Linked DNA regions of Diceros bicornis minor. The protein of the gene in region 1 interacts with the protein of each later gene in a pairwise test. Links are inferred from orthologs where the notes say so. Each region holds a gene or a part of one and is shown on either strand. Other genes may lie near its edges.

What was found.
Region 2: the proteins of CCDC102B (region 1) and SPG21 interact in binary tests that used the Homo sapiens proteins (3 or more experiments, as listed by UniProt). The two-hybrid records come from large-scale screens. The link is inferred for Diceros bicornis minor from reciprocal best matches to the Homo sapiens genes CCDC102B and SPG21.
Region 3: the proteins of CCDC102B (region 1) and GOPC interact in binary tests that used the Homo sapiens proteins (3 or more experiments, as listed by UniProt). The two-hybrid records come from large-scale screens. The link is inferred for Diceros bicornis minor from reciprocal best matches to the Homo sapiens genes CCDC102B and GOPC.
Region 4: the proteins of CCDC102B (region 1) and ENKD1 interact in binary tests that used the Homo sapiens proteins (3 or more experiments, as listed by UniProt). The two-hybrid records come from large-scale screens. The link is inferred for Diceros bicornis minor from reciprocal best matches to the Homo sapiens genes CCDC102B and ENKD1.

The regions. Positions count from the first base shown.
Region 1 is NC_080755.1:58,670,818-58,678,768, reverse strand, and holds the start of CCDC102B (coiled-coil domain-containing protein 102B), read right to left. Parts: upstream 3,121-7,951; 5' UTR 3,112-3,120; coding exon 2,506-3,111; intron 876-2,505; coding exon 655-875; intron 1-654. UniProt on the Homo sapiens protein: During interphase, forms fibers at the proximal ends of centrioles to maintain centrosome cohesion. During mitosis, dissociates from the centrosome following phosphorylation to allow centrosome separation. Contributes to CROCC/rootletin filament formation.
Region 2 is NC_080744.1:59,337,205-59,344,355, reverse strand, and holds the start of SPG21 (maspardin), read left to right. Parts: upstream 1-4,044; 5' UTR 4,045-4,235; intron 4,236-7,151. UniProt on the Homo sapiens protein: May play a role as a negative regulatory factor in CD4-dependent T-cell activation.
Region 3 is NC_080762.1:18,494,788-18,502,140, forward strand, and holds the start of GOPC (Golgi-associated PDZ and coiled-coil motif-containing protein), read left to right. Parts: upstream 1-4,192; 5' UTR 4,193-4,398; coding exon 4,399-4,686; intron 4,687-7,353.
Region 4 is NC_080771.1:19,462,059-19,470,181, forward strand, and holds the start of ENKD1 (enkurin domain-containing protein 1), read right to left. Parts: upstream 3,123-8,123; 5' UTR 3,011-3,122; coding exon 2,797-3,010; intron 2,701-2,796; coding exon 2,506-2,700; intron 1,905-2,505; coding exon 1,732-1,904; intron 215-1,731; coding exon 89-214; intron 1-88. Other genes in the region: C32H16orf86 (uncharacterized protein C16orf86 homolog), read left to right, coding at 3,422-3,526, 3,745-3,974, 4,134-4,142, 4,350-4,567, 4,671-5,080. UniProt on the Homo sapiens protein: Microtubule-binding protein which regulates microtubule organization and stability. Promotes the stability of astral microtubules and facilitates the proper orientation of the mitotic spindle.

The DNA.
Region 1 (7,951 bases):
AGAATCACGAACAGAATACTTGTCATTGTTGTTTCAATAATAACCATTGTTCTGGAAATTTTGGTATAAAACCATGGATAACCAGAACATAGGCATCACTATCTATAGTTTTACAAAGGAGACAATAGCACACTCTTGGCTAACCCAATATCGTATAGCTAGACTATCTCAGAACCAAGGTGAAAATCCACGTCATTTACTCTCAACTCTACTGCTCTTTCCTCTATACCACAAATGGTCAATGAATAAAGCATCTTTTTCTGCGATCAATAACTGAAAAAATTGTGAGTTATTCATCATATTAACATATTTATTCATTTTTATTGACTCACTGAAGTTTACTAATACTGTAAACGTTAGATAATACACTGGCTATTGTAACCATATACATTAATAATTCAGATATAACTAAGGTGAATCTACCAGAGATGATGAGAACAAGGTTACAATAAAAGAATGATAAAAACTAACACGTTATAAATTACTCTTCAAAATTAAAAAAATGAATATATGTCAAACTCATTTCTTAAATATTAGTACTTAATGACTAATTATGGGCAAAATACATTATCAAATGGCCAGTTTACTAGAGGCAAGAATTTTAAGAAGTTTGAAAATCAGACTTGGTTGAGGGAGACAATGATGAGCACTCACTCTCTTTCCTTCCATAAGATTTTTTGGAACTCATCCAAATGCACCTGCAAAGCTGCCATTTCAGGTGCTTCATTCTCCAAAGGCAGATGCATTGCTTGCGGTCTTAATCCAGGTGTCACAGCACAGTTTTCAGAACCACCGTTCTTGAATAAATCAGAACAATCTAGATTCAGTTTCATCTCCTCATTTAATCTTGATGGGTCAATAATCAAACCTTCTTCCTGAAAGGAAAAAATAGAAAACAAATCTTATTGGTGAACATTTAAATCTAGTGTAGAAAAATCATGAAGAAACATATTTTTGGAAAGAAATAAATGTTATGATTCAGCATCAAAGTCATATTTTCATGTCTTGATCATTCTCTCATTGTGTTACAAGGCCAAACTTTAACTTGCATTCTTCAAGCTTTTTTTTTTCTATATTCTATCTTATTATAATAAAACACATTTCTCTGAAGTCTTTTAAAATTTTTCATTTACAGTGGAATCTAAGTTATATCTACCACAAGTCCCACACATCATGGAAAGGCTTAAAATTTTAAATGGAATTGTAGAAGAGAAAGATATGAACTGATTTTGCTTTTAGAGATGGAATTAAATAGAAAGGGGTAACAATATAAACTGATACTATTTAAAGAGATAATATGGGGGCTGCCGCGGTGGCATAGTGGTTAAGTTCGCGTGCTCCACTTCGGCAGTCTGGGGTTTCAGGTTCAGATCCTTGGCGTGGACTAACGCACCACTTGTCAGGCCATGCTGTGGCAGCGTCCCATATAACATAGAGGAAGATGGGCACAGATGTTAGCCCAGGGCCAATCTTCCTTGGCAAAAAGAGGAGGATTGGCATCGGATGTTAGCTCAGTGTTGATCTTCCTCACAAAATAAATAAATAAATAAATAAATACTGCTAAAAAAAAAAATAAAGCGATAATATGAATCCCCAAAGTTTCCCAAAGTATGTTCCACGGGTTAACCGTTAATAGTATTTACAAGGTTTAAAAAATAAAACTGGGGGTGGTGGTGTTCATGGATAAATAAGTGTTATGAACTGCTAGATTAAATGAAGTTTTTAAAAGTTTATCTTGTGCAGAATTCTCAGAAACTTCAAGATTGCAAGTATACCAAGAAATTCCAAAACTGGGTAGTGTGAAGCAATCCCTAAAAGTATTTGCCTAGGGTACCTATTTTACAAGAATTAATTGTGAGGCCAGAGTCTCAAACCTTTAGAAATGTTTCTACTACTATACGGATAATGTACTATTATTGGTAGAATTAGGGTAAATGGGGAGAAATATCTCCAAATATTTTTTCACATAAAAAAAATGCTAGGTTAATTTTTGCTAAAAATCTTAGTGATATCAGCAATATGGGCTGAATTGTGTCCCCCCAAAAAGCTCATTTGTTGAAGTGCTAACCCTCCTCCAGTACCTCAGAATGTAACTACATTTGGGGATTGGGTCTTTAAAGAGGTAATTAAGTTAAAACAAGGTGAGTAGGGTAGGCTTACTGATGGTATCTTTATAAGAAGACGAATCTTCAACACAGGTACATACAGAGCAAAGACTATGTGAAGACACAGAGAGAAGATGGCCATCTATAAGCCACGGAGAGGGGCCTCAGAAGAAACCAACTCTACTGACACCTTAATCGCAGACTTCTAGCCTCCAGAACTGTGAAAAAAAACAAATTTCTGTTGCTGCAGCCACACAGTCTGTGGTACTTAGTTATGGCATCCTAAGCACACAAATACAGTCGCCATTGGGTGTGTCATTTTCCCCTTCCTCCTCGTCACTATATAAAGCATTCAAATATGCGCATAGTCTCTGGATTCCACTGTGGGTTTTTTCCTCACCTTACTAGTTGTGTTCTCCTTTGTAGGAAATTCTCTTCTTAACAAACACTCTCTGATAGACTCACACGTTTTGGAACCCATTTGAAATTGGTCTCTTTGTGCACAGGACACTTCTATGAAACTAGGACGCTTCAGGTCTTGGGTAACTCTAGCCTCTAACACCTCCTTTTGATGTGGCAAACTTTGTTTCTTTTTCAGTGCACTCAATTCCTTCATTGTCATCTCTAATTTTATTCTGAGTTGTCTTCCTTCCTCCCTGGCACTGTTCCTTTCTGTGCGAACTTTACTCCACTTCTCTCTCCAGTTGGCAGTGCAATCTGACCACCACCGCATGGTCTTCTCCATCTGAGCAGCTCTGGCCTTGACTTCTTCAAGTTCTCGCAGGCGAAGTTCTTCACAAATATCCCATTCGTTGGTGTTGCGTGAGTGAGCACAGAGGTCGTGAGCTGCATGGGATTGTAGCCCATAAAGTGGCACACAGGAGTTACAGGTATCTCTGTGGGAGGAGGCAGGTGCTATCACGTCACAAGTTGGTTTAACTGATGACTGCTGCATCTGGAAGATTTGAGTTTCCTCAATTAGCCGATGAATAGAATCTAAATTCATATGTATGTTTTCAGGCCTAAGAAAAGACAGAAAAAAAAATCAAATAATTAATGTTTGAATTTCTTTGCAATGACAAGAACAAGACCTACATTTAAAAAAGAAAGTTGATGAAAACAATACATCTTTTCAATATTGCATATTTTCCTTTCCACTGTAACTAAAAATATAGAGGAATTTATACATTTGTAATTATCCTCAAAGAAACAGAAATTGCTTATATTAAATTTTGCCAAATAAAAATAAAATTATAAAGATGCAATTGAGGATAGAATGCAACATGAATAATTCATTTTAAGAAATCCAATGTTTTTCAGGTAATATTTATTGTAACACATATTGCCCATTAGCTACTCAATGGTCCCTTTTCCCCTGCTAATTAAAGCACAGTTTGTTCAGGTGGAATGCAGAATCTATTCATCTCTGGGAGGAAAAGCCCCCATCCCAATCCCAGGGCTCAATCATGATTGATCTCAGTCTTCCGAGATGACCTCCATTTCACTGATCATTCACTAGTCTCAAGGCAGCATAGGAGCTGGTTCTGGCTGCTGAGATGTGAGGGGAGGTCTGCCAGAGAAATTTCTCATCTAGAAAAATATGAAAACATCAGAACGAAAAACTCTTTTTCCTCTGCTTCTTCCTGCCTGAACAAAGATGAAGGCAAGTATAACAGCCACCCTGTAACATTTAAAATGGTGGAACAGAAAGATGAAAGGAGCTTGATTTAAGGATTGAGCTGCCGCATGAAACCCAGAAGGCATGCCTCTGCCTTCCCTGCTGTGCGAGAATGATGACCTATATTTATTTAAGCTCTGATTGGTGAGTTTTCTGTTACTTGCAGTCAAAATGACATTTAATTGATACATGAATTAATTTCCTACTATGGTTAATATTATGATACGTTCTAAAAATAGAATATTATGAATAAGACATGGTATTTGTCCTTAAAGATTTTATAGTCCAGTGTATGACATAAACACATATAATTTAAAAATACCTAATTCACACTGTAAAAATTATATTTATGTATGCAATCAATCTTTTCTTAGTACACATTACTTGTCAAATCAGTGTTAGCTTCCTAGGTTGTGTACAAGGTGCTCTAAGGAGCTAAAGAAGTGATCAGCTGTCTCCTAGAAATGAAAAGGCTTCACAGCCTAGATAACACTGAACACTGTCTTAGCAATTTCAACTGTTTATAAAGGAATTAAAAATTTCCATATAAATAGCAAAGATAAATTAACTGGTAAATGCAAAGCTTTCTTATCAGTATGTATATCCATTACTTTATTCATTATAGCAACATAGCTATATTAAGGATATAACAAGTAGACCTTTTCTTTAAAATAAATGCTTAAAACATGCAGGTTAATCTACAAATTAATAAAGTTCCGTGGTTGTATAAGATTACCCATTTTTATTATCAAATAAGATATTCTGGTATAAATGATCTTCGGTAACATTTTATATACTTGACATTAATTCCTCTCATTTTTTTCATTTGCTTTTATATAGTTACAGATCATAAACTGTCTCCTTATGAGCCATCCATTTAATCAACTGAAGGGGTTTCATTATACCAATAACTTACAAAATAAGTCTCTAGTCACTGAAAAAAATGACTACACAATACTAAATGTACATCACTTTCAGTTGTAGAAAAAACACATTTTAATAAGTGCTCTGTAGAGGTGCCAAACCAACTCACTCCTTATTACAACACTTATTATTATAATACAGATTCATGGTTGTAATTATTTTGGTTAGCGTTGGTATATGTCCAGTCATATTTGAATTAGTGCTGATTTGGAGTAATTATTCCCTTCATTTACTGTAATTCAGAGGGCAATGATAATATAACTGACCAAATTTCTTGGACTATCAGTAAACCAAGACCATTAAAAAAGAACAAAAGCGGGACCGGCCTGGTGGCGTAGCGGTTAAGTGTGCACACTCTGCTTTGGTGGCCCAGGGTTCGCAGGCACGGATCCCAGGCGCAGACCGATGCACCGCTTGTCAAGCCATGCTGTGGCAGCGTCCCGTATAAATCAGAGGAAGATGGGCACGGATATTAGCCCAGGGCCAATCTTCCTTGGCAAAAAGAGGAGGGTTGGAATCGGATCAGCTCAGGGCTGATCTTCCTCGGTCACACACACACAAAAAAGAACAAAAGGAACTCTTAATTAGAAGCACACCAAAAATTTTATCTACATATTCATATATATATATCTTCATTTTTCACTACTTAATGGTATTTCTTTTGGTTGCATTTCCAAATTGAAGATAGAAAATTTATTTCAGTATATTAAGCTTAAATCTATTCTTGCCATTTTTCAAAATAAATCAATATCATTAAATTGTAATGTCTTTAAAAATGTCTCATTAACTTTTATTTCACTAGTGTTTTGAAGACTCTATAATTGGATTCTGGTACACTGAGATCTTGCCTACCAATTAACTATGTATTTTTTCACATTGGACTAAACAATATTGAGCTGGGTTTAATCATTCAGTCCTTGAACTTCAATAGCATTTCCTGTTCTAAAGTGTTTCTCAAACAAGTGTAAATCAGCATATTTACTCCTCGTGTGTATGTATTAAAGCATTCATTTTCCCTACACATATGTGGGTACTCTTCATGTTTTATTTCAGGTGATTGTGAAAGTATTTGTCAATGGCTGTAGCACAAAGCCTTTGATGTATGGGAAAATATTTTAATGCTATTGACTCTTTGGTTTCTTACATTGATTTTTGCATTGTGCCTACCACAAAAGGGGGGTTACAAGAAAACTCTTGGAGGTGATGAATATGTTTATTACCTTGATTATGGTGATGGTTTCATGGGTGCATGCATATATTTAAATTCATCAGCTGTATACATTAAATATGTGCAGTGTTTTATATCAATTACACTTCAATAAAGCTGTTTTAAAAAGTTCATACAATCAGGCTACCATGATTACTACAAGTAGTTTTGAATGTAGTACATCACCAAATAAATAAAATTTGGTGGGTCTACAGTGTATAGATAACATTACTAAACCTGTTATTTCTTGCTAAAGAGGAGCTTAATGTGTAAGACATTGGGCTCCAGACTCTATTGGTTCAAGTTCTGACTCTGCCACTTTCTAGATAGATGACCTTGGACAAATTACATAAACTGCCTTTGACTCATATCCTTATTTGTAAAAGGAGGCCAAAATATCACGTATCTCACTGAGTTCTTGTGACCATTAAATGGGAAAATGCCAGCTCATCGGCTGGCCCAGGCTGTCTCTTAGGCAAGGTGACAGTTTTTCTCAGCGGTATACAAGTTACTAATATGTCACTTTGGACTATTGTACTATTTATTTTTTTGAGTTTCCTTTCTCTCTTTCAAAGAAAAAATGGTATACTTAAAAAACAGGGAGAGCGACATATAAATGAGATTTACAAAAAAGTTCTAAATTTCATGAAATAAAGGTATAATATCAATTTCTACGTCATATTAATATTATTCAGTGATATATTCAGTACTATTATCGTCTCTATCCTAGAGATGAAGAAACTAGGGCTTAGGGCTCTAATGTAACCAGCCCAAGTCATACACTTAGAAAGAGTCAACCCAGTTTGGGAATTAAAGAAATTTGAATACAGAGCCACCGCCTCTTTGTATCAAAAATCTACTTCAAAATTTCTAGCTTCAAAATATCTATTTTCACTGTAGTAAGATCACCTTTTGGATTATTTCAGAAATATATTTGGCAGACTTCCATTTCGAATAATTTTATGCTCAAATATCTCCCATTAAATCGCACCACAATTAGTCGATTGATCCTGACGTTGAGCTTTGAGTGAATTCAATCTCCTCATCAGAGCTTAAGGGAACTGTATGCAAAGTCTGGGGTTTGTCCACCCCTCCAGCCTCCTCTTCGTCATTCTGCTTCCATGTTCCATGCTTCCGCCACCCAGGTGTGTCCATTCCTTGCACAAACCTCACCTCAGTGGTCTCCTTCGTGCAATCTGATTGCTATGCAGGAGCACTCTCCCCTCTCTCCATACACCCCCCTCCTCCTAGATTCCCATTCTTCAGGTAGCAGCTAGTGGGACCTATGCTTGACCGTCCTCCATTCCTTAGAGGCCTACAGCTGAGCAGAAAATCTGCCTTTGGCCTCCTCTGTGATAGTGAACAAAACAGACATGGCTTCTGCCATCCTGGAACCTTGTTGATAACAAAAGCAATAAATCAAACTAACAATCACAAATGTTAACTGTCTTTGAAAGAAATAGTGTACATACCTACATACTTAGAGAAGTCTCTCTGAAGTGACATCATATGTATTATCTGAAGAATGAGGTGAACCAAAAATAAAAGCATTTTTGGCAGAAGTTAAACTATCAGGGCAGACTAAAACAGGGTCCAAAGGGATTTTTGTTTTATTGTTTATACTTATTGCTTTCCATTAACCTATAGGAAATGAATTCTAAATGAAACCCTGCTTGGATCTTTTTTCCCTAAGAAGCACAGGATCTCTAATGCACCCATAATGATGTAATAAAATCCATAAGCAAAGAGAAAATAGATTCATACAGATTCAGAACATGATGTTAAGGAACGGTTGTTGCTATAGATATGATGCCATATACCCCGATAAAAAGAGAAAAAATAAAGATCAGTTTTCAATATTCAGGAAAGTACCCATCATACTGTATTTTAAAATGTGGCTTGTCAAACATGCACACATGATTAGTATAAAAACTTATGCATTTTGTATGGGTCTAAAGTAGAAAAAAATAATGTCTTTTTAGGAATGTTTTGCAAGAGAATACTAAATATTAAAAGTGAAAACTGCAGTTGTGACAG
Region 2 (7,151 bases), on another chromosome or scaffold:
AGCCTGAGCCTGTTACTCACCCTCTCTGAATTTGTTTTTTGTGTGTGTGTGTGTGAGGAAGATCAGCCCTGAGCTAACATCTGTGCTAATCCTCCTCTTTTTGCTGAGGAAGACCGGCTCTGAGCTAACACCTATTGCCAATCCTCCTCTTTTTTCTCCCCCAAAGCCCTAGTAGATAGCTGTATGTCATAGTTGCACATCCTTCTAGTTGCTGTATGTGGGACGTGGCCTCAGCGTGGCCGGAGAAGCGGTGCGTTGGTGCACGCCGGGGATCCAAACCGGGGCCGCCAGTAGTGGAGCGCGTGCACTTAACTGCTAAGCCACGGGGCCAGCCCTGTATTTGTTTCTTTATCTACGAAATGGAAGTTGTACCTATTTTGCAAGGATTGCCGTGAAGAATAGAAATACTATACATAATTCACTTAGCACAGTGCCTGGAACACAGTAGGTTCTCAATACCGTTATTATTAGCTAACATTTATTGAGTGCTAGCCGTGTTTCTAAGGACTGCCCCTGAACTATCTTATTTTATTTTTACAATAACCCTGGGAGGAAGGTACTATTATTGACCCTCATTTTTCCAGAATGTTAAATAGCTAATAGTGGTAGAGCTAGAGTTCACACTCCAGTAGCCTAACACCAATCTGTGGCCTGAACCACTTTCCCACCCGGCGTGTATTTGCAAATGTTTGTATCCTGATCAAGGAATTTAATGTGCTAGGCTTTGGTGCTCAGAAACAAAGAAACAAAAGCATCTGTTAATTGAGTGCCCATTATATGCAGGCACTATGCTAGGCAATTCCAAAAAGATTTTCTCATTTTAGTTACTATTTAATCACTGTCTTTATTACCTCTAAGAATTCATAAAGTCTTCTAGAACCCTACAGATAGAAGCTGCTTTATTTTTTAGTATAATAGTGCAGCTCTTGTTTCCCAGGATTCTTTATTGCAGCTCTTCTTCCAGAAGGTAGATTATTGCATTGTTATTTACAGCAGAAACACTAATGAGATGCTAGGTTGGCAGATGATACAAAAGATGAAGTACCTTTGCTTAGGAACTCTTATTTTAAAAAGTTAATGATGGACAAACGAAGATTAACTTATCCAAGAAGTTCAAATACTGTTTCCATAAAGAGGCAGTTTTGTGTGCAGGCTACTTTTTTAAAGTTTGATTGGAAGGGAGAGGCAGTGAAGGGATTATCAGAGAAGAGCAGCTTTGAGGAAAAGCTATTGTAAAGATTCTGTACTACATCTCTTATAAATATATAGAATCTAAAATCTTAGACTGGAAAGAACTTAGAGATCATTTAGTCTAACCATGGACTCATTTTACAGAGAAGGAAACCACACCTTGAGAGAGAAGATGTCTTGCCCAAAGATAGAACTTAAGTTTCTTAACTCCTGGATGATAATAAATTATTAATTACAAATAACTGCATATAACTTGTTTGATAGGACTTTTAGGTAGCAAGCTATAGAACAGTCATGTCAACATCTTTCTTGGGCAGTTCCAAAATCTCCACTCTGGGTCTGACCCCTATAATCCAGTGTGGTATGTATTTCACACAGACTGGGTCTGGCAATAAGGAAATAGCATTCATTTTCAATCTCGGGGCTCAGCATAATTCGATATATAACATTGCAGCCAATTGTACCCAGGGAAGCTTTAAAAGGATGGTATTCCAAGAATTGGTATTAGTGTGAAAAACCAAATGTTTTATTCCTCTTTCATTTTTTCATACATCCATTGTTTCTGGGGGTAAAATAGGTGGGTCAAGCAGAAGGAGGCACTCTAAGTGGAGGGAAGAGCATACACAAACTAGGTTTGAGACCTCAGAGGGTGTTTGGGGCCCTTCCAGAGAGCCAGACCTGCTCTAGTATGTGCACCTTGGACTTTAGCTTGAAGTCAGTGGGGAGCTACTGAAGGATTTAGAGAGAGTTTAATTATTTTTTTTATAACATAATAATATATGAATACATTCTTATATAAATTCAAACACTAAATCTAGAGCCAAAGTTCTCCTTCACTGCCCCTTCCATTCTCCAGGTTCTCCTCAGAGGTAAGCACTATTCTGTTTGGTGTGTATACATGCATAAGAGAGATATCTAGGATTATCTTGCATGTGTGTTTTAAAACAAATATTATCCTGTCAAAAGATCAATTAGAGGGATAGAGCTTGTGTTTCAGCAATTCTTAGAACCAGCTAGCCATCTGTTTACTTTGGTGTTCAGAGTATTTTGTGAACATTCCAGTTTTCAAGTGTGATTCTTACACAGGGATTGGTGCTGTGGGAACCATATGGCAGACCCCAAACACGACAGATGCAAACCCTCACAGCCAAATCCACGAGGTCTGCCTGCACTGTGGCCTGCTCTGGGTCAAAAGTTTGCTCCCTGCAGTTGTGCAATCATAGGACAGCTGGAATTCATGGATATTAAATGTTCCTTGTTCAGATTAGGGAATAGACAATGTGTTTGCCATGTGTTATGGAACAACTGAGGATCCAAACATGACCACAGGGTCCTTTTCTAAGGGAAACATGTAGAATCTCAAAAGGGTTTGATCTTTTACATTGTAATAAAAGTATACATGTAACAAAACATATCTACATAGTGAAATGGTTTTTCATTATCCACAGTCAAGTTAAAAATTACTATTACCAAACTAACCAAATAAGGACTTCTAATATATTTGGGCATACCGATAGCTTAAGTCTATGCTAGGGTACTGGTTGAATCCCTCTGTTGCCTTTGCTCTAAACTAAATTTCCCAGCCCGCTTAGGGAGAGAGATAAATAATGTGATCAGCACCCATAATGGGTTTTACATACAACCAGTGATTTGCCAGTTATTCCATTCATTAAACTATTCCAAAGTTTTGAGAAAAAGCCCCAAGGTTAAAAATCTTCTGTGGAAACATGCTCTATACACCTATATGGCACTTTTAATAAAAGACCACTTCCTGTGACTGACTCAAAATTTCAAAAGAGGTGAATGGGGGGGTGGGGGGTGAGAATCTGTTACTGTTTGGAAATGCATTTGGGATTTGTCTAATTCTAGATGGGGACCTAAGGCTCCCGAGCCACAGGGCAGAGGTCATGACTAAGGACGCAATTTACTGGAATTCTCCCCTGACCTTGATCCCATAACAGTTGCCTGGGTAAGGGCAAAATCCAAAGGCCTTTAAACAGGGTACAAGTTTCTCCTAATACAGATTAGGGAGAGGATCATTCAGCAGGACCTTGTTGCAGGATCACTAAAAACTTCAAACAAGGAGATTTACCTATTAGTCAATCTTATCATACATTCTTTCAGCAAACCTGCATATTTTACTGAAAAAGAGAGTCGCGACATCTGCAACACCTTGTTTAAGAATAATTATTATAAATATATTAATATTCTCCATCCCTTTAAGGGAAAGTGATAAAGGAGCTAGGGGCTCGGTGGGAGCTGTTCCTGGAAATCCCCCAGAACGTCAGCAAAAGTCTTGAAACGGAGGTGGGAGCGTTACAGTGGAGGACTATGGAGGGCGTCTGTAGTTGTGCCAAAGGAAAATAACCTTGCCAAGAAAAGAGTATACAAAACCTTGTTCACCAAAGCCTGGAACCCAAAGAGGTCCCCTCAAAGCTTTACACGGCGGAGAGAAACCTGCTTCCTCGAAGAGGAGAGAACTGAAGGCTGACGCACGTCCCAAGGGGCCAGGCGCCCCCTCCTTCCACTCCCATAACCTCTCCCTCCGTGCTCAAATCAGACAGGGGACCTGGAGCTGACCCACAGGCAATTCGGACCTCCTCCCCGAGACCGCCGCCACCGCCAGAACCACGCCGGCTCCCCAATCCTCCGCATATCGCAGGATGAAGCGAGAGCGCCGGGAGTCTCTCGGCTGGGTCTTCCACCCGCCCCGTCGCCGTGGTGACCGCCGGAGACACGCAGTCCCGCCCCTTCCTCACGACGTGGCCCCGCCCCCTTCAAACCCGGAAGCGCGAGGCCGGCGGCCGCTGAACTAACAATTCGGGAGGAGAGAGCGCGGCCGCCCAGGCTCGCTTGGCCGCGCGCCCCGCCCCCCGGAGGCCGGCCTCTCAGCGGGCCCCCACTGCTCTCTGCGCCTGCGGGGCGTGTGGGCTCTGGCCCGGGGGCCCCCACCCGGGCCCAGCCAACCCCACGGCCGGTGCCTGTACTGGAGGGAAGAGCCTCCTTGAGGAGGAGGGAAAGGGACGTGAGGGCGGACACGGCAGGTGAGGAGTGGAACCAGGCCCTGGGAAGTGGGGGTGTGGATGTGTGATGTGTATGGAGTTGCAGGTAGGTGTGTATGTAGTGTACGTGGCTGCCTCTGTCCGTGTCGCTTTGTGAGTGTGGACTCGAGTGGACCGGTGCGTGTGACCATGCACGTGATCTCCTGTCCCTCTGTATGTGTGTGTGTGTGTCTGAGGTCGAGTAGTACATGGGGGTGGTCGGTGTGCCTGTGACCCTGCCTTTGTGTGCTGTCATCGGTGGGACTGGGTGAGGGTGGGGGTCTTATGTGTGGGTCGCCTGCGGGTGGGGGGAGGGGGCTTGACCAGGGCATCCTCCTGTAGTCCCATTCTCTGGCTAGGCAGCTGCAGCCCAGGAACATGTTTTTCAGTTAACTTTGAAGAACTCTGTGCAGAGGCCAGTTATTTTGGAGATTGCACCTCAGCCTGAAAGTGACAGATGTCTTTGTCATTGCTGAGTATGGGCCAGGTGTGAGGCTTGTGAATGAGGGATGAGGAAAGTAGCAGGTCAGGAGTCTCACTTTTCCTCTTCTCCTTTTCCTGGGGAGTTTTAAGTTCTGCATTTATGCTGCTGCTTTGTCTCCACCTACAATGTTCTAGCTCCTGTTGGCACAAAGATTCAAGAGACTGAGGAGTAACTTAATAGCTGTGTGCAAATTTCCAAAAGCTTTTATACCAAGACAGAGCACAAGATGAGGTGTCACAGAAGAAATGTCAAGTAGGCAGCTTTTCCTCCCATGAAGTTTAGAAGATAATGGAATAAGTTCCTGAAGAAAAGAGGGATAAATCTTCCCCTGAAGAGATCTAAAAAAAGGATAGCTATGTCCTAGTGTGGTGAGGTCTGGAGACTTGCATTGAAAAGCCAATTGCATGGCCTAGAGACTCTTAGGTCCTCATATTTTGTTATTGCTGGTATTAATAATAATCACAGATTGTCCATATGTGGATCAAATACAGATTGAGATAAAGGATCAGAAACCTCTGACTAGTTAAGCTGGTTATGTGACTTAAACATTTGTAAAGGCGATTTCATTGACTATAAACTGGCAGGTTCTGTTGAAACCCTGAAGGATAAGTGCATATAATTCTTGGTGCATACTCACAGCTGGCAGTTTCATTGTTGAGCAGTACAAGGGCTGAGAGGACTGGGTATGCAAAGCACTCCCCAAGGAGGGGTTTCCTTAGGCAAGATTAAGGCTAATCTCTGCGGCCCTTTTCCCACCAGCATGAACAGGTGATTTCGTGAAGAATTGAATTGTGAGAGATCAAATCAGTGTTGAGCTCATGGTCCACATTCTTTCCTATTTAATGCTGACTGGTTTGGTCGCAATCTCAGTTAACCTTTTTTGCCACATACAGAATGTTTCTGTTGTGACTTGGAAAAGTATACCCCGTTAGTGGATGAAAGAGAGCTAGGAGAACAAAATTTCTTTTCATACTGCTCACAGCTGCTTTCCCTTTGCAGCACTGAGCTTTTTTTCTCTTCAACGTCAGTTGGTCAGATGCGACATTTGGTTTCTATCTGACCTTTCATGTACTGCCAAACTAGCACAAGTGTTAAAATCACTTGCCTCTACAAACATTTAGTCACAGTCGGGTGGAATCTCTCCATCCAGCAAGATTAGTTATAAAATGTTATAACACCAGGGTGGTTGTGAACAATACTGAGGACTGCGGTAAGGAACGTCTTTCTGTTTATTGCTATGGGAAGAAGTGGATGACAGTGAATTTGTGTGCCTGTGTATGATGTGTATTTCTGTTGTAGTTTGGTTTGTACATTGCAACTCATTCCAAACTATGAATGATTAATTTTATCCCAAGTTTGGCGAATCTAGAAGCAAACTTTCTGGCTTTAGTTAGCTAAGGTGCTTTATAAATCTATTGAGTAGATTTTATTTGCTAAACATGTTTTTGATATTTCCTCCTGTACAATAGAGTAATTGTTTATAGTAATGCAGTACTAGAAAATGTTGCCATTAGGCAGTAGTTAGATGATATAGGAATATTTCAAGTCTATCCAGATAGAAAATATTCCAGAATTAACTATATGTGCTAGTTGCTTTCAATTAAAAGTGATAACCAGCGTAGAGAAAGGTTATATAGTTCAAATGGCTTAGATTTTTTAACATGTTAATATTTGGTAAGAGAAAATGGATATGCAAAGAGTGACTTTCTTTATTTCAGTATAATAATAACTACATCTGTGCACACTGATTTTCAGCATAAGACTGGCTGATGATTTTCTTGGTGCTTGAGAGCAACTTATGATTTTAACAAACTTTTCTAAAAGTACCATCTTAGTCTTGAGAGAAGAGACCATTATTACAATGTCAAGGTTGTTAATCAAGTTTAATATTGGATGTCTACATTTGCCATCTCCTTAGGGTTCAGTTTAGTAACCCCCCAAAAGGTTAGAGGTAACAATTGAGACTGCTGAGTGCCTTTTGTTCTTGAGGGAGCAGATCTGGAGGGCGGGGGAGGAAGAGTTCCACTGGGTTTAGAATCCCCTGTTCCTGGCCGGTCCAGAGAAGCCCCTCTAAAAGGACAGCTCAGAGAAAGCCCAGGAGTTAAATCCTAGAGTCTCGAACTCATCCTAGCTCTCCCAGGAAATCCAGGCTTGCCCTGGGGTAGAGGGAAGGACGCAATGCAAGTATTTGAATCCTTCCAGACCAGTGGGTGGAAGTTCCTCATTTGGCAATAAGAATCTGCAAGAGGGAACTATAATTTCAGGTTCCTGTTATGACCTAACGTGGATGCCTGAGCAAAGAGGGGCAGCCTCTAAATTAAAGATACTCAGCCAGTCCAGTGCTCATAGGTGCCCGGGTTAGAAGGAACTCTAGGATTGCCTAGTTCAGTCTCCTTAGGACATAGTCATTCATTTAGTCAACAGATAATGCCTGC
Region 3 (7,353 bases), on another chromosome or scaffold:
GAGTCTACGTTTGATCTGTAAAGTCTGACAATCTGAGAAATAAACAGTGACTTGACAGTGGATGAAAGAGGAAGAATCGATGATTAGTAAACTCGGATACCACTGTTGATAAATGGTGGTTTTAGATAATGCTGACCCAAACCTGGAGCTGTGGGAAAGAGTAAATGAAGAATGCAGATCAGGTGACAGTGGAAAAGCAGTTATAGTCAGTCTTAGAGAGTGTCAGGGAATAAAAATATAGTATTAGGAATTTCTAAAATTGTTTTTTATTATGTTTTGTTTTTAGGTTTGGGTACATGATACAAAACATAGTTATCTCATAAATTTTAACTATGGACTAGGTAAAATAATTCTCAAAGCCTAAATTATATTGGAGTTATTAGTGAAATCAACCAGATTATTGTTAAATGAACCTTTCTTTTTAAGTTGGGAAAAATATTCTTTGGAATTTAAAGGAATAAGTATTTTATAGATATTCCTAACCCCTGAGCCAATATAAAAATATGTTCAGCTATGCTCTCTAGCAGGTATCAAAGGCATACCTTGGAAAGTGACTGCTTTTAGAATCTCTTACATAGAGTGTTGTAACATCTTAATTATTGAACTGACCACACAAATATTTTCAGCATTCCTACTATAGCCCAGGTCTTGTGTTAGGACTTGGTATTCAAAGATAGCAAGATACAGTTATTGCTGCCAAGGAGCTCACAGTTTAAGGGGCTCCAAAAAACATATGATAAGTGCTATAGCAGGTATTTGCAGGAAACTAAACAGCAATGGAGTCCATAGCTCCACATGAGGAGAAAAAAGGAAGGCTTCCTGGAAGAGGTGTCTGAGCTAAACCTAAATCACTGCAACAAAATTCTCAAGTTTTAAGAACAAGAGAGCAAACAGTTGTTCCGTAAGGGTATATAAAAGGAATAATCAGGAGAATGAGGCTAATAAATCTCTTTGGAATGCCCAAACTTACTTCTTTAGCATGTCTATCACAAAATTTCAAATTGTTAGTAAATATCAATAAATATAAATAATACACATGCATATGATATTCCAAGACTTTTCCCACATTGCTCCAGTAAAATGGTAGTGGGTTTTCCTTGGCTTTCTTTATTCATCATACAACTGTTCATAGCGACCAACAGCAATTACTACCTTTTCCTTTTCCTGGTTGGATTACTGGAGAGTAAATGAAATGTGTGAAGCTTAGTACAGGACCTGGTACACAGTAGAGTACAATAAATGGCAGTATCGTTCTCCATTCCAAGGTAGATCTTCTATGGCCATTCACCTCGGTGTCTTTGCAATTAATGTTTGAACTCTACACTAACCTCACAGCTAAATACCAGTACCTACCAGAGAAATCTTTAGCATGTTCCCTTTTTCCCCAGTTTCCTCAGTCTCTCCCCTATTTATTCTTAGTAATACCTTGTGGTAAAACTCTAGGGATAAGTTCCTAAAACAGGACTGTCACATTTAAGTTATAGTAGAAATGTTTAATCATGTAAGCATGATTCATGAAACAGCAACATTGCACTTATGCCAATGCAATTGCAAATAGAAGTATCATGATTTTATTATCTCTAGAAAAATAAACTCCACAAGTATTGAGATTACATACAATTCCAAATTCCAGAGTAAGTCAAGATAAGGCAGTAAATGTAATAGAGCTTGCTGACAGCAGATGGCAGCACTTGAACATCAAACTCGGCTCTTCACTTCCGTGTTGGTCTGTGACTTGCAGAAATGCAAAACCCCAATCAAAGTGGGCAAATGAGAATGTCCACATAGAGGGCACCTCATGAGTATTTGAAATAGTCACATAGAACCAAGATAGCAAGCACATAGGGATGTGGCAGCTGGTACATGGTGTGATAACGAGAAGAGACAATATGAGATGAAAGTATTTAGAGGCACAGAGGGTGTGATTTGTTGGAGTTGTAAAGATCACAAACAGAAATGGAGGTGGGTTCTACAATCCTGGAAATGGAGATCTTCAAAAAGGATCAGAGCACTCAAAACATATAAATACTTAAAATGCATTTCAGTTGAACCCACACAATACAGCAAGAAGTGGAATGACATTTTTTTAAAGAAACGAAATTTATTTTCAAGTGTAGTATAAACTAAAGAGAGTGATAAGTAATAGTGAGTATTACAATTACTTTTTTTTAAGGAACATTTCTTATATATTAATAGATTTGCATACGGCTTATAATTAGGAAGAAATTACTTTTTTGAAAAAACTTTTGGCCTGATTTGCCAATTTATTATACTGGTAATTTATACAAGAAGAAATGGATTCCCTCCTCCTTATATAACCCATGGTTAACAGCTAAGACTTTGGAGAAAAAGACATCTAAATTGAAATCTCACCTCAGTCGATTTTTAGCTGTGTGACCTTACCAAGATACTTAAGCTCTCTGTGGCTCATCTATAAAAAAGTGATAATAGCTTCCTCACAGGATTTTGTGAGGGTCAAAGAACTGAAGCAAATAGCACAATGCTTAATACACAGTATGTACTCAACAACTGAAAGCTATTCCTATTATTGTGATTCCATGTATGTGCCCTCCCTCCAATTTTACATTATTTACTTCAAATTCCTGAAAACGCATTGCTAACTATATTATGTATAGAGAAAGTGGCTGGCAACTTGGTAGCTGTACTGATGTTCTTGCAAATACTGAAATATTGAAATATAAAGTTAATTTGAAAAGGAATGGGGAAAGATGCAAATTTTAGTTTTACATTATTTTTTTGTGTATTAAAACCTGTATGAAGGTGCCTATTTAAGCTCAAGGCCAGGATCTCACCCTTAGTTTTGCTTAGCTAAGTCTGCTTAAGTCAAAGGACTTTATTGACCCATGTTAACCAGTCGGCCCTGCAGTCTCCAGACAGCAAACCAAACCTATGATTTCTTATTCCTCACTGGCCTTGCGTTGGCGAGGGGCACAAAGTGCTGGCTTTGGTGGTGATTAACTGGAAGAGTCTGTCCTATGAACAGATCATAAAAGAGTCTGTAGTCGGCCAGGAAAATATTCCCCTAGGCAATGCAGGAGAGACAGTTTCTACCAGCCTTCTCTAATCAGACTGGTTTCTCCGTCCTTTTCCAAGACCGGGCTACTCTTGAGTAGAAGAGGGTTAAAAGTGAGTAGGTGGAATGGTAAAGAGCAGTTGCTAAACACTCCCAAGGGTACTGCAAAATTCAAATTAAGTTGTAGCTATGCAGGTTAGACTCACTAGCCTGTGAGCTCTGCTTGACTAAGGGTCATGTCTCATTTATTTTTGTGTCCCCAATGCCTCAACAGGGCTCTGCATTCAATATATTTATGAATATGTGAGTCTTCATAATTGTGTTTTTCTGAAATGTCACATGTGGGTACACTGTACCAGTTTTTGAAATAAGTACACCTTTTGAAGTAGTTGCTTTGGAAATGCATGACCTGCGGTGTAATAAGGAATAGCAAGTGCCAAGCACTGAAGCTAAGCATTTGACCTCATTACTGAGCGTAGCAAATTTTGGAAACTGAGGCTTCGAGATTAAAGACTACAATGAAGACGGCACAGCTAATATGTGGCAGGGTTTAATACTTGAACCCAAGCCTGCCTCTTAATTACAAGACAAAATGTATTGTATTAATTCAGCAAAACCTGGGCAGCCGCTGTCCTTCAACGTGCAGCTCTAGGCAGTTTCCACCCAGAATTTAGGGCCTGGTTTACCAAGAAGAGCCAGTTTGTCCATCCACCCCACCCACCTTACCCGCCTCACCCTGAACAGGAAGTGGAATGGAAAAGGTAAAACGTGGCCATTGCGCATGCTCAGACCGCCCTTCCTCACTTTCCCTTCCCTGCCCCTGGACGACACCGCAGAAACTTTCCCGGACGACTTATAACGTCCTCTGCCCACTGTGAAGTCAGACGGGCGGAAGTCGTTCCTCTCTGCGACGTGGATGCCCTTCTCTTCCTCGAGCCGTTTCAACTTGGAAGCCGATATCAAGCGCCTCTGTTTCTCGAGTATTCAAACTGCAGTTTGCCAGTAGTCAATATGGCCGCTGACGGGCGGGTCCCAAGCAGAGGCTTTTCATAGGCCAAGGTCGCATCCTAGCCCCGCCCATTTCGCCCCACCAGGCTGCGTCCGTCTGGGTCTTCGCTACGCATGCGCAGCGGGGGCGGGTCGTGAGGTGGGACGGCCCGCGTCTTCCGTGTGCCGCCGCCGCCGCCTCAGTGTGGCTGCTGCTGCCGCTCTGGGGCTGCCTTGCCAGCCTTAGCCGCGCGAGGGGAAGGGAGGGGACCCAGGGAACGTGCGTGCGCGGGGGTCCCCGCAGTCCCATCAGTTCCTCTCGCGCGGGGTGGGCGGGGGGGGGTCAGCAGCAGTTGGGGGAGGCCCTGGACAGCGCCATGTCGGCGGGCGGCCCGTGCCCGGCAGGAGCCGGAGGGGGCCCCGGGGGCGCCTCCTGCGCCGTGGGGGTCACCCCCGGCGGGGTATCCATGTTCCGATGGCTGGAGGTGCTGGAGAAGGAGTTCGACAAGGCCTTCGTGGATGTGGATCTGCTCCTGGGCGAGATCGATCCGGACCAGGCGGACATCACTTATGAGGGGCGACAGAAGATGACCAGCCTGAGCTCCTGCTTTGCGCAGCTTTGCCACAAAGCCCAGACTGTGTCCCAAATCAACCACAAGCTAGAGGTGAGCTGCGGGCGCTGGAGGGGGTGGCATTCAACCCCGGTCGTCAGATTCTATTTAACGCACCAGGGAAGCGACCCTAGAAAACTGCCCACTAGGGCACCTGGGCTTCAAATGTGACGGGGGAGTGTGTGTGTATATGTGTGAAGGAAAGGAGTGAGGTGAAGTTGGAATAGAAAAAGGGGTGTAGATCGACGTGTGGGTCTCCCCGTGTCATCCACCTTCCTAGTATCTCTATGAGGAGGAAACAGGAACTAATTACACCAGCCTACTTGTACATATTACATTAACAAACCTAAGATTAAGCTCAAAGCTTCTCTGTCATAAGAATACCTTAGCCCACTCTTTAACATTTGGGTTTTTAGATCTCACATTGATAAACGAGGTATTTATGTCACCAGACAGATACACTCCTGATTATTTTTAACCATTTCAGGTCAAGGTCTGTTGTTGCACACAGACATACTCTTACCAGCATGCATGAACTAGTTAGGGGAATTTGATCAATGCTGTTAGGAAGATTTAGTGGGATAAACACTAAATAGTATCAGTATCCTTCTTGGTTTACAGTTGGTCTTTAAATTACAGGCGTATACCTCCAGAGCTCCCTACAATTATTTAAATGACTTCTAACATTGAGGTTTTGTTTATGCTTTACTATATTTCCCAAAATCTGAATTTATTTTTTAGAGTATGTGAAGAATGGTCATTTGCTTAAGTCTCTAATCTTGGTTGTGGGTGTGGGTGGATGGTGATGGTTCCAAAAAAGCAAAAAAACTTACCATATTGTGCACCAAATTAAATTAGTACATTATTACAGTATTTAGAAATCATGATAGATTAACATTATTACATAAAGAGCATTTTCTAACTAGATAATTTAAATAAGAGAATGGGTCTTCATTTTAAATAGATATAAATAGGATAATCAGTGATGTACAAAGTCCTTTGAACGTTAGATTTACTAAGAAATCATCATTGCTATCAGTTGTAATGCTTGAAAGTGCCCATTGGATCCAAATCAATATGAGTATCAGATATGCATCGTCTCCTTGCTTGTGGTTAGCATTCTTTCTCTTTCCTGTCAGTTAGCCATGAAAAAGGTGGGATAATTCATCTTTGATTAGCATAGAATTGCGTATCAGAGATTTTGTGACTCTTCTCCCCTGAAAGGACTGTTCATTTCTTCCATCCTTTTTGAAAAGGTTGAAGTGGGAGTGCCAGTAGGAAGCTAAACACTTCTTATGAAAATGTCTCTTGATTTCTTGATTAGGGGTAATTTCTAAAAGATATTTATTTTTCTCAGTTAGTGAAATTGCATTTGTTGGTTTTTAGAAATAGTACTTTAGGTTTAAGTAACAGAGCAAGAGTGGCTTTTACCACATGAGAACTTCCGTATCATTTACAACTGCAAGTATCTACTGAGAATAAACAGCTTTTAAAAAGTGAAACAATATCTAATTCATTTCTTTAATGACTTAAGGAAACTTGAAAGAGTGATATTTTGATGTCAGATATAAAATCTAATTTTGGAGAAAGGATCATTCTGTGAGTAGGAGGTGGTGCTCAATTTTTTTCATCTTTAAATATTTTAGATAAATATTCAGAGCTATAATAAATTATGCATGTTCTTTTTTTTCAGAAATTATAGTTACATATTCTGGCTCCATGCCTGGCTTAGGAGGTGGTGTTATTTCTCAAAATAAGAAATGCTAACCTATCACAATGTGAGCATATTTTTTCAACATGCCTGAAACCCTTGATTTAAAGATCTTAGAAAATGGGGAGGGGAGAGACTAATGTGATTTTTTTGTTGTTGTTTGTGTATTTTTTCAGTTACAGTTGACTTATCAAGTCTGTGGGGTTAATCCTTCTACATGTAGCAATTTCCACAGTTTTCATGGAATCAGTTGTGTATTGCTAAAGAGTGAGGTTCATTGTCAGTAGTGCCTTTGAAAGTAGATCTGCTGCTGTATCATCTACAGAATTTCAGAGGTTGCTCCGTATACTGTTATCAGTCGTCTGAGATCTTGAAATCTTTGAAAAAATTTCCATACTTTTTGCCCTATTTTATTTTATTTCTTGAATTCTATTTTTTTAAGGATATGGAAATTAAAACATAATATTTGAGACCACTTATGGTTTGGTATAACAAATGTGCACCAAAGTTTAGTGGTTTTAGAGACTAATACCTTAAGCCATATTACCATAATAAAATATCTTTATAATCAAGACACAGATACCTCCAGTATGGGTAGCTTATATTTAAATTGGTCTTAAATATCCTTCCAGATTACTCCTTCTTCTCTCCAGTTATTGTGTCTTTAGGTAACACCACATTTAATATTAATATAGTAGTTAGGAAAACAATTTTGATGCAAAAAAGTCATAGGTTACATTTTAAAATTAAATATGAATGACATCTATGTGACTGCTTCTTGCTGTAAGTTATATTTGGGGAGAGGGCTATCTATAAGGGAATGGGGAGGGCAGAGAATATCAGAATATTTTGAGAGAGTGCCATTGCAGTTTACTCACATCTCTCTTATGCTTCCCACTTGCTTGAGAATTCCTGCTGTGGTGAGCCACTGGGTGACGGCTGTGCTGGAGTCCCACGTACTGATGGGGGATAGTAGTAGTAGTCCTGGTAGTAGTAGCAGTAGTAGGTGT
Region 4 (8,123 bases), on another chromosome or scaffold:
AAGCATGATGGGACAGACAGCACTGTGTTGTATCCCTGAACCCCCCAGGATCCCTGCCCCACCTCCCAGGCCCCACACATCCTCTCACCTTAGTGCTGGAACCTGGTGGGGTTAGCTGGGGACTGGGGACACGGGGTGGTGGGAGCCCAGGGCCACAGCGGGAATGTGCCCGTAGGAAGTGGGCAGGCTCTGTCCCAGAGGCAGGGCTGGGGTTCTGGAGGGCAGGACATAGCAGAGGGAACATTTAGGCTGAGGTCAGGGTCTCAAGCCAGAAGACCATGACTCTGTCGTTTCTGCCTCTCAGGATCTTTCTCTATCCCAGCCCTATGGGTCTCCTCCCTCTTGAAGGAACACTTCTCATCAGCATTTAAACATATGTGTCTTTCACATCTTTAAGAAAACAACAAACTACCCCTCCTTCTACCTCCATTCCTGGCTCCAGTTACCAATCTCTTTTTCTCTCCTTCCTAGCCAAGCTTCCAGACTCTGTCCCCACCAAGGTCACTGATAGCTGGCCTCCAAGCCCTCAAATCCAGGGTCACTTCCCTGATCTCATTGTCCTCGGCCTGATCCTCAATAACACTTGGATTTCACTTCCAAGATCCAGACCTGACTCTCCATCTGCTTTCTGGACACACTCCTACCCCCTGGGAGTCCCACAAATGCTTCAGCTTCAACAGAACAACATATGACCTTATTGTTTTTTCTCTCAATCCTGCTCCTTCTTCTGAGACCACTGGGTAGAGAAACGGTGCCACTATCTACCCAAGACAGAATCCCACCACCATAACCCTGTCCCTGCCCTTCCCACTGCCCTTAGAAATAAAGGTTGAGGGGCCGGCCCCGTGTCTTAGCGGTTAAGTGCGCGCGCTCCGCTACTGGCGGCCCAGGTTCGGATCCAGGCGCGCACCGACGCACCGCTTGTCCGGCCATGCTGAGGCTGCATCCCACATACAGCAACTAGGGGGATGTGCAACTGTGACGTACAACTATCTACTGAGGCTTTGGGGAGAAAAGGGGAAAAAAAAAAGAGGAGGATTGGCATGGATGTTAGCTCAGGGCTGATCTTCCTCACAAAAAAAATTAAAGAAATAAAAGTTGAGAAGTGGATTATATGGCCCTTTATGATGTGGGTTTAGCTGACTTAGCCTAACCTCGTGCTCTTCTCCCCTCACAGTGAATTGTACACAGCCTCCCCACGGGCCACACTCTCTCTGGTCTTAGGACTTCTATCTGTGAGGTTCTAGCTCTATAGAATGTTCTCTTCCATTCTCCCCTTGCCTAATTTCTACTTGCCCCTCACCCAGCCATCATCACTTCTGAGAAAGCCGCCAGCCCCACCCTGAAATAGAACCAGCTATCTCTTACTCCTCTGGTACATTAGTCCCCTGTGATTTTCCTCTCTCCCCATAACTCAGATAGGGTATAACTGCCTGTTGGGCAACAAAATAGACAATACCGGGGCCGGCCTGGTGGCGTAGCGGTTAAGTGTGTGCGCTCCGCTGCGGCAGCCCGGGGTTTGGATCCCGGGCACGCACCAATGCACCGCTTGTCAAGCCATGCTGTGGCGGCATCCCATATAAAGTGGAGGAAGATGGGCATGGATGTTAGCCCAGGGCCAGTCTTCCTCAGCAAAAAGAGGAGGATTGGCGACAGATGTTAGCTCAGGGCTGATCTTCTTCACCAAAAAAAAAAAGATAGACAATACTTCTGGCTCCCTGAGGCAGGTACCTGCAGCTGGGCCTTGACCCGGGACTCCACTTTGTCATATTTGGGCGAGCGCCACAGAGCCTTCAGGGGCCTGGGCTGGCCCTGCTCCCGGCTGCACTCCTGCTCACGGAAGCGCCTTTGGATCTCTCTGATCCGCCTCAGGTTCTCCTTCTCATGGTCTTTAGGGTCCTTCCCTGCGGAAAAGATGTTGCCAGGATCTTCCCTACATACAGCCCAGGCAATCCAACTCATACCAGTTCACACACAGGCCCACACCCTGCCCTCCTACAGAAACATCTCTCTGACCTCTCCATCCAACTTAGATCCTATACACATATTCCACCTCATCACCTTGTTCCCTTCCTGATATAGTAATCTTCTTCCATCCTTGATTATTTTCTACATTTTTATTGTGACGTATACCATTAATCATCTTGTATATCATATTCATCTCTTCACTTGTTTATTGTCTCCCACCTTGACTCGATGATGGCCCATGCTTGTCTTCAACCTTGTCTTCCTAGCACCTATAGGGCCTGGCACACAGTAGACACTCAGCAAACAACGTTTCATTGATGCTTGAATCCATGAAGCTGAGCTAGGGTTTCCCAGGGAATGACTCATTCAGTCCTCTCCTGAGAAGAGGTAGTGCATTTTCTCCTTCTTTTATAGTTGGGGAAACTAAGACTCCGAGAGGCAAAGTCTGAGCCCAGGTCCAGGAAGGAGGAGCCCCCCCTTTTGATCTCAGCTTTTGACCTCAGACTCGCCTCTCTGCCCCTTCTGCCCAGAACTTACTCTTGGGAGAGGCGCCTGGGCCTACGGAGATATCCCCGAATTGCAGCAACACGGCCCCTACGGCACGCCGGCCACGCTCCAGAATCTCTCGGGCTCCGGGGCTCATGCGGGGGCCGCGGGGAGGGGTGGCATCCTGGTCCGGGTCCGAAGTCAACAGGTTCAGCTTCAGCGCGTTTCCCTCAAGGCGCCCTTGGGCTGAGGGGCCGGACGGGGTGGAGTGCGGGGCTCAGTGGTGGAGCGGGGCGGGAACCTCGCTCGAGCCTCGCCTGGCCGCGGCACCCACCAACTCACCTGAGGACGGCCGCCGGTAGTAGTCAGGGCAGAGCGTAGGGTCTGGCGGGATGGGCCCCGAGATGCGGGACGGGCCCTCGCACATGCCGCCGTCGTCGCCCTGCAACGGTGGACCGAGGCCTGCCGGGCTGCGCATCTCCGGCCCCAGAACCCTGTCCTCAAGCCCCATGCCTCCTCCCTGGACCGGGCCCCTGATCCCGGCCGTGCCCTCCATTCTCTCCCGGCCCCCGCCCTGCCTCCCGACCCCGGCCTGCCCTCGCTGCCTCGGCTTCCAGCCCACTTCCCTGCCCGGTTCGCGGCCCCTCCCCCGCAACACCTGGGCAGGGGGCTCACCCGAGCCGTTTTGCCACCCGCCGCTGCAACCGGACGGGTTTGCTGTTGCCAGGCAACAATAGTTTCCGTCCCTGAGGTCAGGGGCCAATGCCCCTGGCGCAAAGCCCTCTGGGGCTTGTAGTTCCTGCTGAGGGTGGGGCAGAGCGGCCGCTAGTAGCCCTTCCCTGGCTCTCGCCTACCGGCCGATCTCCGCCGATCTCCAAGGTCAGCGCAGGGTCCACCAGTCCGGCCCCTCGGGGCCCGCCCCCCGCCGACCAAGCAACCGTCGAGGATGCGCTGACCCCGCGCAGCCATGGCCTCATCAGGGGCTCAGAGGCGGCCAGGGGCCCAGGAGGGGACGGCCGTGGAGCCAGCACAGCTCGCGGAGGCGCTAGGTGGCCGCGCTCAGAGCTCTGAGGTGAGGTGTCTCTAGCCTTCAAACACTTGGCCGCAGCGCTGTAGGAGGCCAAACTCTGTGCGATGACCCCCTAACTGCCAGGACAGGCTTCATAGGCTGGGAGGGTCATGGGCTGGTGCCCTTCATTCGCATTTGGTGTCTGATGTCAGGTGTCTAATGACTGATCCCTGTATCCTTTGCCTGGCCATGATAACTAGTTACCTATGTGTCACCTCTAGTGTCCAGTGATGGGAGTACAGTGCCTGGTGCCAGCCCATGAGGCCTGCCGGACCCAGGGTGCAGACAAGTATCCAGCAGGATCAGTGTCAGAGCCAGAGCTCCAGCAGGAACGACTCAAGCTGGAAGAAGAGAGGCTCAAGCCAGAGGTGGAGGCACTAGAGGAGAGAGGCCCCAGGCCTATGGCCTCCATTGTGAGGCTCAGTCATGGTCCGAAGAGGAAGCCAGTCAAGTGAGGGGGCTTTCAGAGGGAAGGAGCTGCAGAGCTGGAGGCGGGGCTGGGGGGACGACAACTCACAATCCAGTAGGATTCCTAAATCCATCCTGCACCCCTGCAGGGTGCATCCTTATGCCCTGCCACCATCACTCCTCACCCCTTCTGTCCTTCAAGAACCCTGGTGTAGGGACCATCCTGAGAGGTAGTCTCAAGGCCTTGAAGGGGACTGAGCTCACATGAACTCTCAGCCTCTGACCAGCCCGGGGCCTCACTGACCAGGAAAGGGACAAGAATCGGGTCCCAGGGTGGTGGGCAGGCAGGGCTATTCCCTAGGCTCAGGACATAGGAGTCAAGGCTGAAGGCTGGCTCCTCGGTCCTCCTATCCCCCAGCCTCCCAGGGCCTAGTCACCAAGCCCATCCTAGGGCTGAAACTGAGCTGCCACAGGGGCTGCCGCTGCAGAGGGAGGAGCCAGAGAGTAGCCAGAGTGAGCCGTCACTGTCTGCCAAACAGCACAAAAAAGCCAAGAAACGCAAGAGTCTGGGAGCCCCAGTGCTCCCAGCTGTGGCCAGCACAGTGTCTGCACCCTCAGAGACTTTGGGGCTGGAGCGTGAGTGGCAGTCCCCGGGCCTTCCTCTTTCCCCCTGCCTGCTGGACCCTTGACATGGCACGGCTTGGCACTCTAGCCCCTGCCCTGCCCTGGGTCCTTGCAGGAAAGGCCCAGCGCCTGCGGCCCCTGTACCAGTACATCAACTATTGCAACCCTGAGCTGAACCAGGCAGGGGAGGGAGACAGGGAGGTGGAGGCCGAGGTGGAGCCTGAGTTGGAGCTGACCCCGGTCCCTGAGGAGGCAGGTGTGGAGCAACTGCAGGCCTTGCTACATGTGGCAGGTGAGCTGGGCTCAGGCCTTACTTTGCCCTGCCCCAATACGTTTGTGTTCCCCACCCATGCTCTGGTTCCCCTGGGAAAGGAAGCTGGAGAGGAGCCTGGGGGTTTGCTCAGCTTGGGGGTCAGCGGCTGCCTCAAGGCTGAGGTGGATAAGTCAACTCAAGTGGACATTGACAAGATGCTAAGTATCTGTATGGCTCCACTTGTACCCCCACTCTCTCCTCAGTACAAGTGACTGTCCCGCCCCACTCGTGGCTCCCCTCCTCCCAAGCCTGAACCAGAGCAGCAGCCTATGGGCCTAGGCCCTCAGGTGGAAGGGGGAATTTGGCCTCTGCCCCCACTTGGGACCTTGGACTTGCTGAAAATAAACGTTTTCCTTTTCTCAGACTATGATTCCCCAAATAAGCTGCCTGAAGAGGGAGAGGCTGGGAAGAAGGGTGGAGGATTCCCCAGTGCACGGTTTGAAGCCTGACTGGTCATCTGGATTGCCCAGGAATTTGACAAAAATATAGATTCCTGGGCACTACCCCACATCTAACTGAATCAGAATCTGCACAGGTGGGGCCCGGTTCTGTGCATTTAAAGGCTCCTCAGATGAACCTGAAGGTTAGACAGGAGAACAGTGGGGATGGAGAGGGAGGTGACAAGGAGAAACTTGGGGCAGAGAAAGGAAAGGGACTGTCAGATCATAGGAAGCAGGTGCTTGGTCTTGCTTCATCTCCCAGGGAAGGGGCCTGCATTTGGTCCAACCTCAAGGAGACCAACACTTGGGATCCACCCTCTAGAGTGGCAGAGTTCACTTGTCTGCTCCAAGAGTGGCAGCTTTGGAATGCTTTCCACTTATTGCCAGACCACAACTGCACCAGACTTTGCCCCCAGAGTGGCCCCTGGCGACAGAGGCAATGGTGCCTTTTTCCTGACAGGCAGGGGGTGGTGGTAGAGGTGTATGTTCTCCCTGGAGCCCTGAGGCCAAGCCACCAGATGACTACTGCTTTTTGACCTCAGGGGTCTCTGGGAAGAGGCAGCTAGTGCTGGCCATTTTGGAAACTCTCATATCCTGCTGCCTCCTGATTTTCCTACATGTCCCTCAGACACTTTAAACACAGGGAATTCCAAATTAAATGAATAATTTCTTCTCTCTCCAACCTGCTTTTCCTCCTGTATCTCATCTACACAAATGTTCCAGCAAAAATCCTGGGTGTCACCTTGAAGGATTAGACTGAACTCAAGGGCACACATCACCACATTGTATCACCTAGCAGAGGGCCCCCATAAAAGGCATCAAGATAAGGAGACCAAGGTGGGGAGCTGAGGAAGCTGCAGAGAGGGACAGGTCAGGATCTGAAAGGCTGAGGCCATCCAAAGTCCAGAACCATGTATGGGGCCCCCGGAATAATGGCCTGGCAAGATCATCAGAAGGGATGGGGTGGGCAGGCCCAGATGGAAGAAGTAAGAAGAAAATGGGCATTATCCCAAGCTGCTCCCTCCGTTAGGGGTCATTTGGATGCTCCCTCCTTTAGGGGTCACCGGCCCCATGGCAAGGCCACAGGGTAAGCCATGGAGTCAGGATATTTCTTCTTTCTGCCCACACTTTTCCTTGGAAAGTGATTTGACTGCCCCAGGAGATACTGTCCACAGGGATGAGCATGGATTCTCTGGGATTTTTCAGAGGTAGAAGGCTCTTCAGATAACTAGCTTGAGCTCCTCACTATGACTGAGGAAGCAGAGGCCTGGAGAAGTGGCCTTGCATGAGACTACACCCTGGGCCCCAGGGAGGCCCTGCCCTTTCCAGAGCTCTGCAGATCTGTGGACCTGGGGGCTCTCTTGCTTGGACCCTGGGCCTGACCCAAGAAGGCCAAGCATCTGCTTTCTCTGTGTGGTCTCCAGGGCTGGAGGTGTGGGCCAGGCCAGCACTGATAAGGAAGCTCTGTCCCTATCTTTCAACAAGTGATAAAGAAAATACACAGTAACCATATTAGAAAGAACTGGTCTACATTTCCTGAGTCCTATTACCTGACAGGCTTATCTAAGCAGGGTAGCTGACAGAAGCCACAGAAAGGAACAAGTTACCATTACTGCTCCTAGAACCTCACTCTAAGGGGGAAATGCTGAGACAGCACGATACAGGGAGACGGGTGCCACGGAAGAGCCAAGGACCAAGGCAGTGGGACCACAAGTGATGGGGGTGACTGCCACTTTGCCTAGGGCAGAAGTAGTAAAGAGGCAACCCTCCAGCTGACTCCTGAAGGACAGAGTTGAGAGTTGAGACTCCAGGCAGAAGATATGCCAGGGACAAAGCCTTGCTAGTGTGAAAGAGATCAGCCCCGTGCAGGAGGGCCAGTTAGCGTGGCTGAAGCAGAGGCATGGCCATCAGGAGACCAGGTTGGGCGAGTCTGGAGTGATCAGGAGGGGTGTAGGCAAGGAGGGATCTTGGCCTGACATTTTGGAGAGGTCGTTTAGGCAGCACTGTGAAGGGCAGACCAAGGGAGAGACTGGGGCCAGGGAGGAAACTGCTGCCATTGTCTGAGGCCTAGATTTGGTTGGGGGTTGAAAAATAAGAAACAGGTATTTTGGAAATTCTTTTCTGGCTGCTGTATCAGAGAGGAAAAGCTAACTGCATTTTCACTGATTTAGAAAAACTTATATTTACTTTTGATGCAAGGAAGATCCTGAGATTTGGGAAACAGATCCTGGGAGGTGATGCTGCCTACCTCCAGGAGGGGGCGCTGCAGGACAAGCCTGGAACCATCTGTGGGCTCAGTCGCCCCTGGGTACCAGAACCCTGCTGGCTTCCTTAGCTACGGGCATCTAGGCCACTTCAAGGTACATCTCCTCTCTGGGACCAACTCGAGACACACATGATGGTAAAGATGTCTGAGGGATGGCCATGGGCCTGGCTTCTGGGGATTGCCAACAGAGGACTTGGTGTCCTCATAAGCCCACTGCAGTCTACCCCAGGACTTCTGGGAATTCATCTTTGTAAACAAGAGGTTTGCTCCAGAGCCCTAAAAAAACATAAGAAGTGCCACTGTGGATCTGCAACGTGGCGCTTTCTTAAGTAGGAGCATCTGAGTCAAACACAATGGATGCATGTGCTTTCTTGGTCAATTCCCAAACTTAGTAGGGATTTAAACACCCTAGTAACACACACAGGGACTGACCTAGAGCTGAGCTGATTGTCCCCAGGAGGAAGGGGGCAGCTTCTCCTTCTTCAACTCTATCAGAGTCTGGCCTGGTGGGGCTCTCTCTGCAGTCTGCCTCCTAGTTCAGGCCAGGCT